Daphnia pulex: one gene and its partners. The protein of the gene in region 3 purifies or fractionates together with the protein of the main gene of each other region. This does not show direct contact. Links are inferred from orthologs where the notes say so. Each region holds a gene or a part of one and is shown on either strand. Other genes may lie near its edges. The genes, in order: serine/threonine-protein phosphatase 6 catalytic subunit-like, hsp90 co-chaperone Cdc37-like and aurora kinase-like.

Region 1 (3,694 bases), on a different chromosome or scaffold from region 3:
ACTCTCTTGGCGAGAAGCTGCTGGCGTCGACTCGTGAGGACTAAAGTAAAATAGCCTCCAGCCATGCCGAGGTGAAAAATGAGAGAGAAGAAAGGTGAAAAATGGGAGGGAGAGGGGGCGATCTCTTTCAAGGAGGATTTACTGCCCCAGGCGATCTCGATTCGTCCGATTGTTTAGCAGTTTTTTTTTTTTTTATGTGTAACAACAGTGCTCTCTTATCAAACAATGGTAAAAGTCGTCTCACAATCACAATCTTTTTGTAAGGAAAAAAACAAAAAATGAAGTAATAAATTCCCGGAGTGGGCGGATCACATTTTTTGAATTGACAAATATAGCTACTCCAACGCCATCTAGCAACCTTTTTACTGACTTGGTAAATTTTAAGTTGGGAAATCTTTTCAACTTTTCAATTTTGCCTGGCGAGAAAAAAATGGAATTTTGTACAAAACTGACACTGAAAAGTAAAGGAAACTTTTTTGTCGTCTCTCAATGTGCCAGACACAATAGGACAGCAGCAAAACAGCATTTATTGACTTTAAGGAGGATTGAACTGATTTTACATGTGTTTATTTATTATCAAAGAATGCAGAGCAGTTGGAGAAATTTCGGGCTATGTTTTTAAAACTCACAGGAAGTAGGGCGTCGTTGTGTATGGTGGGATAACACGCTCACTGTCGGGAACAGCGTTGAATAGTTTAGGCTTACGAGACTTGTCTTCGTTCAACGCCAAGATACCAGCCACGTTACCACAGCGGTAGCAGTAGTTTGGCGCTGACCAAACAGTCACCAGCTTGTCGTCGAACATGAATTTGTAGCCTTCGTGAACCAATTGGTGAGCACGACAGATCAGCTCTAATCCGTTGAGATGCATAAACTCATGGGTGACTCGAGAGCCGAAAAGCCAGCCGGCACCTCGAGGGCTAATTGTCCAAGTTTCCACATCCTCAGGATCAGACCACACTAGGTCACAAAACGCTCCTTTGTGCGGAATCTCCTGATTTCTTTCGATTGTGCGGATCTGATCAAGCGTCCGAATAGAAGGGGAAAGGCCGCCATGCACGCACAACACTTCACCATCAATTAACTATAATGAAGAAGCCAATAGAAAAAAAAATTAATAGAAAAATAAGCAAATTAATATTAATAAAAGATTGCACCAAAGTGGGCTATTTACCGCAGCAACAGTGAGTAAATCAAATAACTGGCAACAATATCTCCATGCATTTGCATTTCCATATTTGTTCTGACATTCATCTAGAGCCAAATGTTAGCAATCATTAAAGATGAAATGAGTCTCAAAAATAATTTGTGGTACCATAAAAGCCATAGACTTGAGTGATTTGTCTGGATTCATGGTTTCCTCTCAATAGTGTGATCCTGTCCGGGTATTTGGCTTTTAATGTAAGCAACCGTGTGAGGGTTTCCAAACTATAGTATCCCCGGTCAACAAAATCTCCAAGGAAAACATAGTTTGTGTCTGGTACTTGTCCACCAGTTCGGAAGAGCTCTTCCAGGTCATAAAACTGCAAAAATAATTACTTACAAAGGATTTATCCATATAAATTGAAATATTTAAAAAAAAAAATACCTGGCCATGAATATCTCCACAGACAGTAACTGGAGTTGAAACATAGTGTACATTTGATTCTTCCAGCAACAAGTCACAAACCAATTCACAAAGTTTCTGAAGATAAGAAGAAAAAAATGATTAAAGAATAATTTCTTGACATGAACCATACTGACAGCTTAAAGTCCTCGCTTAGGAACAACCAAATGTAAGTGAAATCACATTTTTAAGTGTTTCACAAGTTTTATTGCATATAAATCGTTTTGAAATACTGACGACAAAACCATGACAAAACTTCTTATGTAAGGTGTCGATTGGCAGGAGAAAAGACGCGTATTACAGAAGTTCTACCACGGTTTTCACGTCCTTAATTGAAGCACTATTAAAAACTGTCAGCATGTTATCTGTCAACTCACCTTCATTTCATTTTCAGGTAGGTATTTACATTCGCGGGCTATATCTATCCATCTGTCTACATCTGCCACCATTTTTCTTCGTGACAGAACCAATTAATTGGAGAGAACTTTTCTTATAATTTCGAGTCGACTTTCTTCTAGGCCAAACATTTGACGTCCACTAAGAACTGTCGAAACTCGTCAGTAGCTGTCGCTCCTATTTTTCAGTTTCATCATGGCGTCTGCTATTCCCACATTTACAAAAATCGGCAAAGTTATTCGCTTAAATAAACATGGATGCACTAATCGACCTTTTTACCACATCGTCGTTCAAAAGGTAAAACAAAAAGGTTACATCTCACATATGAAAATATCCATTACTTTGAAAAAGAAACTATAAATACTATGTAAGAAATGATTGGATGGCACGTCTAAACTGTCGCGTTTTGGTTTCTCTTGAATTTATAGACGAGGGACAATTTTGACGGTCCAGTAATTGAACAGGTTGGCAGTTATGATGCCATGCCCAACAGCCAAAATGAAAAACTAGTCGCTGTTAATTTTGAAAGAGTTCAATACTGGCTTGCTCAAGGAGCGGGGATGAGTAATCCTGTTGCACAGGTGAAATTTTTAAATGCTAGGTATATTGATCTTCAATTTAAATGCTAATTAAACTATTCTATAGCTCCTTGGTCTCTCTGGATTTTTGCCTAATCATCCTCAAACTCTGATTCAGTCTTGGAAGAACAGACGAGAACCACCTAGAGAAAGAAAATTACAGCCTATCAAAGGAATTGCACCTCCTCTTGACAATCCCAAAATTTAGTTTGCTGTATTTTTCATTATATAGTCAGAATAAATCATTTTGTTAAAGTAATTTGTTGACTGGTATGTAGGAAATCATAAATTTTTTTAAAGCCCTTGCCAACTGGCTTTTTTTCCCCTCTCTTTTGTAGTAGACAAAGTAATTCAAATAGGATATTTGAAAATCAATTTTTGAAACTTTTATTTCACACAGTTTGTAAATTGTAGGGATTAGACATTTTTTGCATTAATCAGTTGAACACTCGAATTTTTTAAATTTTATCCATGATGTAATATTTAAGGATCCTTTGGAGTAGCGTTTACAACTTCGACTAAAAAAAGAAAAAATGACAAAGGTTGAGACTTGTCTACTGCAATAATAATTTCATTCGCCATTTATTACCTCAACATGAATTGCTAGTACTCCATCATCTTCAGCATTGCCGATACTGATCAAAGCCTTGCCATCAGAGCCCACTGTAACTGATTTGCCTGTGCACTGTCCGTTGACCAAGTTGCCTGAGATGATGTCGCAGTACGTTCCAGCCGAAAGACATGTCTATTAATTCGTAGTATATGATTATTTGTTTGTTGGAAATGTTTTGAATTGTTACAAAAATACCTGAAGAGTTTGGGACATGTTGGAGCCTTCGTTGTTGATGGCGATGAAACCTTTGCCACCGCGGCAGAAAGCAATTTCTATGGAATTCAGAAATAGGTAATTCATCTTATTTTTTCATTTTTTAAATTAAATTTTCTTACGGTTGTTTCCGTTATCCCACCAGTCGTTCATTGTAGTTCCTAAATGTAATCAACAAATATTAAATTTAAAATTTGATTAGAATTGTGTCGATTGCGTGCACTCAAATACGCGATGGATCCGGGATCCAATACCTGCAACAATGTTCCGGAACTTGGCCATATTGTA
Region 2 (3,833 bases), on a different chromosome or scaffold from region 3:
AGATAAGACTTGGGGATTTTGCATACGACGCGTCATGGACGTTGCCGTGCGTCAGGGTTGACACCTTAGTGATTTTGTACCAAAACGCAACAGACGCTTCGGTCCCAACCCTACTCACCCGATGAAGGACTAAAAAACATCTAGACCTCTCAGAGAAAAGATTCCCTATTTCGAGAGAGTCGATTTTAAAGAACAGATAAAACGTTATTTTTCTGAACAATTCAAAAAATTAGCTCTGTCATTCCAGGAACATTTAGCCAACCTGAAAACCCAGAACCCGTTACTGGATACAATGAATGGAAAGATTTAATCATAGAACCATTTAAGGACCCATCTGAGAATCAATTTTTTAAGAACGAACTGTCTGAAATTGAACAAAAAGCTAACGAACGAGTAAGAGAATTTCGCCCACGTTTAGAAACATGATTTGTTAAAGCCTACAACGGAATGCTTTTTTCCATAGTACAAATGAAGATATGACTCTCAAAAGAAACGACATTCGAAGGAAAAAAAGAATGCATTTGAAGGAGGACTCAAAAGGGAGTTACTCCCAGGTGAAAACAGAGTACTGCGCGATGCTGACTACGCAACATGTGAAGTCACAGCAACAGATATAGAAAGAAGTTTAGCACGCAAAAAATCAACTTCTCACAAAAACCGTCATTCACAAATAAGCGCTATTAGTTTACACAAAAAATTACTTTTAGTATTATTCGAATTACTTTAATTGTCTTTTAATGATTTATTTTAAGTTTATGGTAACCGCCATAAACTCCGTGTTAAACACGGCTCGAAGCCTCGAACATTTTGTCGCGCTGTTAAATTAATTTTAAAATAATAAATGTTAACGAAAATGTAAAAAATTTGTAACACATTTTTATCAACAGTGTTGTGGCCGATATTTTTTTTTTACCGCGAGCCCGGCCCGATTAACAGAAACAAACATCATGTCAAGGTCGTGATCTTTTTTGCGATCGCCGCTAGATGGCAAGGGGAAATGATTACCAACGTTTTCAAGAATCAAGACAAAGCACAAAGCAATTTGCAAAAATACATTTAATCACTGAAACTTTATAAACTTTAATGTATAACAATAATTTTTTATATAAAAATAAAAACAATAATTTATTGGTGGTGCTATTTAAAAAAAGGGTTTTTTTATTAATTAAAGATAGCGACGATCGCAAATCTGATCGAGCGATTTCTGGCCTGCAATTCCGATCCCGGTCGCGTTTTTCAGTTTGGATCGCGATCGCTAAAAATTTACCGTGGTCGTGATCGCACGATCGAACGATTGCAATCGTCACGACATTTTTTATTAATAAAATAAGTATCAGTTTATAATGAATAAATTTTTTGAATTAAGACCCCTATTTCCCGTATATAAATGTTTAATGGTTCATTTCTTTAAGATCCCACGCTACGATTTTGTCCGGGTTTTATTATGTAAATAGTGTGTAATGTGTCAATAATGTTCATTTTTCCTAAAGGCTAAAACTAAAACCCCCCTTTTTTTAGCTAAAATGGCCTTAGTAGAGACGAAGTTGCTTTAGTCCATTCAGGAACAAGCTCCACCCATCGCCAGAGGGGTGTACCTCTTTGGAGTTATCACTTAGGCAAAGGTTCAGTTTTCTGCCACCACTCTGTCGAGTCTACAATCGTAGATTCGTAGTGTTAGCGTTTAGATAATCTGTCACTTTCCACTTTTCCATTAAGTTCTTAACTTTATCGCGAATAAAATGGTAGACTACAGCAAATGGAAAAATATCGAGGTAAATTGTTGCTTCAAAAATGTTGTGTTGTTATTTTACCATATTTTTGCGGGTTCTCTAACCTTCTATTTATTGTCAGTATAGTATTTAATCGTAATTAAGTATCGTAATTAAGTATTCGTTATTTATATGTTTCATTTAAACACTCACGTACTTCATAATACTTTACAGATATCTGACGATGAGGATGATACACATCCTAACGTTGACACGCCTTCTCTGTTCAAATGGCGACACGAAGCTAGATTAGAAAAAATGAAGGAAATGGAACAAGAAAAAGCTCTGTTTCTCAAAGCAAAAAATGAGTAATGCTAAATAACTAGCTTTAATGTTTTTGTTAAAGTTTACATTAAATCAAACTTTTCTAACAAAGGAACACTGCCAAACTAAAAGAAGTTAAAAGTAAGTATGAACAGGTGATGAAAGAAGGTATTGATGTGACAGATTTGAAAAAGCAATTGAGTGAATTAGAATCGAAAAAAATTGAACTCGAAGATCATGAAGAACAAATGAAAAAAAAGGAAAAGTTGATGCCATGGTATTTAAAAGATTCACTTCAATATATCCTAATGTGATGTCTAATTTCAAAGTTTAATTGTGGTTTTTTTGCATATTTTTTTTAGGAATGTAGATACAATTAGTCAACCTGGATTTTCAAAAACTGTGGTCAATGTTGACCAACCCAAAAAAGTGAAAGAGCTCACTGAAGAGGAGAAAGAAATCAAAACACGTGAATTTTTCAAGAAACATGAGAAAAATCTTAAGGCATATGGAATGCTACAAAAGTATGATGATAGTAAGCGTTTCCTTCAAGAAAATCCAGAGCTGGTTTGTGAAGAAACAGCAAACTATCTCGTGATTTGGTGTATTAATTTAGAAATGGAAGAGAAAACAAGTTTAATGGAACATGTTGCCCATCAGTGCATTTGCATGCAATTCATTCTTGAATTATCCAGGCACCTTAACAGAGATCCAAGATCATGTGTGTCTTCATTCTTTTCAAGGTTTATCTTTATATTAAGTTGTCCTTTATGTAGCTATAACTAAATGAATTGTTTACTATTTTATCTCTTTTAGAATTCAAATCGCAGATGTTGAGTATCGTAAAGGATTTGAAGACGAACTTGTAGCTTTCAAAGACCGTATACAACGGCGGGCGAAAGAGAAAATAGAAGCTGCAATTGCCGAAGCTGAGGAGGAAGAAAAGAAAAAACGACTTGGTCCTGGAGGGTTGGATCCCGTTGAAGTATTTGAAAGTTTACCGGAGGTATAATTGAGCAAGACACATAAATTTCCTTCCACATATATGAATCATGTGTTTTGTTGTGTAGGTTCTTAAGGATTGTTTTGAAAAACAAAACATTGAGCTTCTTCAACAAGCAATTTCAACACTACCTGAAGAAGAAGCACGGTTTCATATGAAAAGATGTGTTGACTCCGGATTGTGGGTACCCGACGGAAATGTTGCTGGAAATATTGCAGAAAATGTTGCAGAAAATTAAAATACTAGTTTGGATTATTATATTCATTAATAATGAATTAATACACTGGGGCTTTTGAATAACGTGTATTTGACGTTTTTACCTCCAGTTTCATACTCACCTCACTTTAAAATTGTAAAGTTAAAAAGCCTTAAGAACAGACAAGTTACTGCTATAAAAACATACGCTAGTATTCTTCAGTCTGGAATTGCGACTCTTCCACTTCGTATTTAATGTTGTCAGGATCATATTGATTATAGCCATCATATTGTTGGGCCGTATAGTCATAATCTGCAAATTTCAATTCCACAAATTAGTAATAGATATTTTTCATTAACAGCTAATTCCAATACCATCAGGCGGTTCTTCCTTCACTCGCACTTGTTCACCATCCTCCCGAACATAGTCCCTACGCTCTCGTTCCCTGTGAAAAATTATTCATTAAATTCTGAAGTTGAATTCGATAATTTGATTGCTTACTTATCCTTGTAACGATCGCGACGTTCCCGGCGATCCTTGTTCTTGTCTTTAACTCGATCTTTTTCTTTGCGACGCTCATCGCCAGAAGCGACTTGACCAG
Region 3 (3,813 bases):
AGATTTTAACGTGTAAAATAATTCTGCATTTAATCAATAACAATTCTCGCAAAACAAAATCTAAATTTGAGTTTTAAAAGTTTACCTTTAATAAACCCCATAATGCTGCCTTCGTGAGACTTGCTGCTTACTGAGTGAGAAGATGGAGCAGTCTGCTGATGATTGGAATGAACGCCACGGTTTATATACCTGACCTGAGACAACCTTGGCTTATTACGCTCCTAGGAACAATGGAGCCCTGAAGGTGTGATCCCTACCTTCTCCAATACCTCGGGCACTGTGTCCTTGATATCACTTGATGTCTCGATATAACTTGAATTAAGTACGTTTCGTTTCCAATTATTTTACTGTTTTATCCAGTTTTCCGTCTTCTCTCTATCTTATGAAATTAATACCACGCCATTTGGTAATTACATAACTATAAAAATCCATCCACATACCATCCAAATGCTTTTAATTGTCAGTGGTATGCAAAAAGTCAATTATAATTAGTGTTCAAATGAATTGAATGCAATCTTCTTCTGTCTGATATGATTTTATAGGCTTATTGAATATGTAGAGATGGACATCGGATAACTAGTATTGGTTTCCATTTGCACTTGTAAATCCTGTAAATCATCTAACATTGCTGAAGTAAACCTTCGATGAATATGTGCTAGGCAGTCTTTCAGATATTAAACTGAAATCAATCAAATCTCATCGAATCAATTTAATCGTAAATCAGGCATTTATTGCCATACCTACAAGTCTACAACACATTTTCTTAAGGTGGAGTGAAATTAAAAAATTCTATTGTGTAACGCGCGCGTTTATTGGCAGGCAGATTGATTCCTACATAAAGTGAAATAAAATCAGTTTAGGAGTGTAATAGAACGTTGTATTTTTGCCGCTTTTTTTGGTACTGAATAAAGAATGAAAAAACAATACACGCATTTGATCAATATGTTAAACCGGAGAAAATGAATTTGTGTTTTTTGTTTTTGCGAATTTTTGAATATTAGCATCAGAGGATTGGGACCCAATAGAGAGCCCAAGCACGAAAGCATAGTGAAATATTAGATATGATTATAAATTGACACCAAGATGTAGTTACGATAGATCGGACAGCACCCATTTTTTGATAAATTCAATACTAAGAAAAGCTGACCAAAGCCAAACGGTAAAAAATTTAACCATTTTGGAAGGCTATCTCTTTTTGTTTTTTTGTTGTTGTGCGTTGCAAAAAGGAAGAATAGGCTAATTATTAAAAAAACACATTTTTCTTTTAAGGCATAGAGTTTTGTCTCTCGCATAAGTTTTTTCTTAACAAAGAAAGTGGTTTTTTTTTGCATTTCACGCCGACTTTGGCAACCTGTCACGCTTAGACGCGGCCACTCTGGCGGACCAGACGTGACTTTTTAGACTCCCCCCAACCCCCTCTCATATTCCAGGCTTCCAGCTACAATCCTTTTGCCAATAACAGTATGATACAATCATTGTAGGCTGGCTCCTGGAAAGACCACGGTTTAGGGTTATAGAGTTTAGACATTAAATTACAACACATTTAATTGCATTACATTGCGAATAAGTAAGTTTGAACTTTGTGTTTTTGTAAATGTTTCATGTTTTGATTTTGAAAAATTTGACAGATAACATGGAAACCAAACAGCCACTTAAAGAGAACTCTTCAAACCAACCTACTGTTAAGTTGGAAAACTCGAAGAAGTATGTTATAATTTTTTGTTTTTCAGAACAGTTTTCCAACAAAGTGTTTCTAATTTATCTTCTTGACTTAAATATTTTATTGTGGCATTAATCTTCCCAAATGATGTGTGTTTCTCTGCTTATTTGTTTCAACCCAGATGGAGTCTTGATAACTTTGAAATTGGCCGTCCTCTTGGTAAAGGGAAGTTTGGAAATGTGTACTTGGCTAGAGAAATCAATACCAAATACATTGTAGCCCTGAAGATTTTGTTTAAATCTCAACTACAAAAATGTCATATGGAACACCAGTTGAGACGTGAAATTGAAATCCAGTCACATTTACAGTACATACTAATGAGATCAATGTTTTATGGAAAATTTATATCACTAATGCACATCAAAACTTTTCTGCAACTCTGCTGTAGACATCCCAATGTTTTACGCATGCACGGATATTTTTATGATGAAACTCGTATTTACCTCATCTTGGAATACGCCGGAAAGGGAGAAATGTACAAGTACCTGAAACGCCAACCCAATGGCCGTTTTTCTGAACCACAGTAAATTTTTAAAAATAACAGAAACATAAGTTCTGTGGGAAATTAATTACCCCTATTTTTAGGACGGCCAATTACATGGCTCAGCTAGCTGATGCATTGATATACTGTCATAAATGGAAAGTAATCCACCGAGATATTAAGCCAGAAAATCTTTTACTAGGAATTCGTGGAGAAATTAAAATAGCAGATTTTGGTTGGTCCGTCCATGCTCCTTCGTCTAGGTAAAGTAAAATATGATTGTTTAGTGTAGAACCAAACAAATCGAAGTTATTTATGTTATATTGTTTTTGTTCAATAGGCGTGAAACCATGTGTGGGACATTGGATTATTTAGCCCCCGAAATGATAGAAGGGCGCTCTCACGACGAACGTGTAGATTTGTGGACTCTTGGTATTCTTTGCTACGAATTCTTAGTGGGATCACCTCCTTTTGAAGAGAAAAAGCAAGATCTCACTTACCACCGTATTTGCAAGTATTAATTTTTTCGAATAATTTTCCAATGTGGTTAAGAGGCATTCTAAGCGTTTTCATTTTCCATGCCATGATTTCGTATGGTAGAGTTGACTTAAAATTTCCAGCACATCTCTCTACTGGAGCGAAAGACTTGATTGCTAAATTACTCAAACCACGAGCAGAAGATCGTATCCCTCTACGAAAATTACTTGAACATAGCTGGATTCTACAGCACCTTTCCGACGAAGTTCGATCCAGGTATGATTTTTTTAAATAATTTTATTTAAAACTCGTCTTCAAATATAATTGTGACGCATTACGTGTGTATTTCATCAGGTTACCGACTTTCCAGATAATGCAACCCAACAAATCATAAACTTTGATATTTAATGGCAATCTAACCATAAATTTTTAAAGTAAAATTTCAATTTGTAAATTCCATTCCCGATTGCTTTTATCTCTTCTCTCAATTATGTAATACAATAAATACTTTTCATAAATGCTGCTCGCACGTAAGTTATTAATGGCTAAGTTTATCATTCACGTTATTACATCAAATATTATGCAAATTTATACTAAGTTCGCCAGTCGTCCTTTACATGCTATTCGTTCTCTATTTTGTTTCCCGTTACATCATCCTAATAAATGTTAAAGGATTTAATTTTAAAAAGAATTTGGATTATCCTTTATGGAAAAAAATCACAATTGAAATTTATTCAATTATTTTAAAATTACATTTATTTTTTAAGCATGTATAAAATAGCTGCTAACGACGAAAGTAAGTTTTATTCATTGAATGAGTTCAAGCAAAAAGCAAATCCCTAACAGAAAGTTCCGTGGAAATTATTACAATGAATCAAAAACTAGATTTTCAATAGAGCATCAGTCGTGGATCTCTTTCTAACTGGCAGTAATGATTAGATTTGTAAGAAATTATGAGTAAGAATCTATTTTATTATAGCACATCAAAACTACGCGGTAGGCACAACACCAGATAAATATTAAACAATCAAACAATTGATTTAACGAATAATACTTCAAATAGTTGAGAAAAAACAAATATCTCCACATGCTTCAAAGCACAACTGAGATGGGAAAAAGCATAGTATTATATATG

The links.
Region 1: the proteins of aurora kinase-like (region 3) and serine/threonine-protein phosphatase 6 catalytic subunit-like purify together in Homo sapiens (affinity purification with mass spectrometry, with the first as the bait; 3 studies listed by BioGRID). This does not show direct contact. The link is inferred for Daphnia pulex from reciprocal best matches to the Homo sapiens genes AURKB and PPP6C.
Region 2: the proteins of aurora kinase-like (region 3) and hsp90 co-chaperone Cdc37-like purify together in Homo sapiens (affinity purification with mass spectrometry; 7 studies listed by BioGRID and IntAct, counting the BioPlex papers as one, with this or other methods). This does not show direct contact. The link is inferred for Daphnia pulex from reciprocal best matches to the Homo sapiens genes AURKB and CDC37.

What each region holds. Positions count from the first base shown.
Region 1 is NC_060019.1:6,997,061-7,000,754, forward strand, and holds serine/threonine-protein phosphatase 6 catalytic subunit-like, read right to left. Parts: upstream 2,128-3,694; 5' UTR 2,056-2,127; coding exon 1,984-2,055; intron 1,685-1,983; coding exon 1,589-1,684; intron 1,524-1,588; coding exon 1,316-1,523; intron 1,255-1,315; coding exon 1,175-1,254; intron 1,085-1,174; coding exon 626-1,084; 3' UTR 510-625; downstream 1-509. Other genes in the region: probable 28S ribosomal protein S16, mitochondrial, read left to right, coding at 2,198-2,299, 2,431-2,583, 2,648-2,788; alpha-amylase 1-like, read right to left, coding at 3,087-3,098, 3,170-3,325, 3,389-3,465, 3,529-3,567, 3,661-3,694.
Region 2 is NC_060026.1:6,136,670-6,140,502, forward strand, and holds hsp90 co-chaperone Cdc37-like, read left to right. Parts: upstream 1-1,613; 5' UTR 1,614-1,739; coding exon 1,740-1,772; intron 1,773-1,943; coding exon 1,944-2,077; intron 2,078-2,145; coding exon 2,146-2,310; intron 2,311-2,395; coding exon 2,396-2,776; intron 2,777-2,849; coding exon 2,850-3,039; intron 3,040-3,103; coding exon 3,104-3,274; 3' UTR 3,275-3,333; downstream 3,334-3,833. Other genes in the region: U1 small nuclear ribonucleoprotein 70 kDa-like, read right to left, coding at 3,441-3,544, 3,607-3,677, 3,734-3,833. UniProt on the Homo sapiens protein: Co-chaperone that binds to numerous kinases and promotes their interaction with the Hsp90 complex, resulting in stabilization and promotion of their activity. Inhibits HSP90AA1 ATPase activity.
Region 3 is NC_060024.1:9,277,504-9,281,316, forward strand, and holds aurora kinase-like, read left to right. Parts: upstream 1-1,361; 5' UTR 1,362-1,567; intron 1,568-1,628; 5' UTR 1,629-1,633; coding exon 1,634-1,704; intron 1,705-1,841; coding exon 1,842-2,027; intron 2,028-2,108; coding exon 2,109-2,243; intron 2,244-2,305; coding exon 2,306-2,464; intron 2,465-2,541; coding exon 2,542-2,715; intron 2,716-2,801; coding exon 2,802-2,954; intron 2,955-3,032; coding exon 3,033-3,072; 3' UTR 3,073-3,197; downstream 3,198-3,813. Other genes in the region: uncharacterized protein LOC124200621, read right to left, coding at 86-101. UniProt on the Homo sapiens protein: Serine/threonine-protein kinase component of the chromosomal passenger complex (CPC), a complex that acts as a key regulator of mitosis.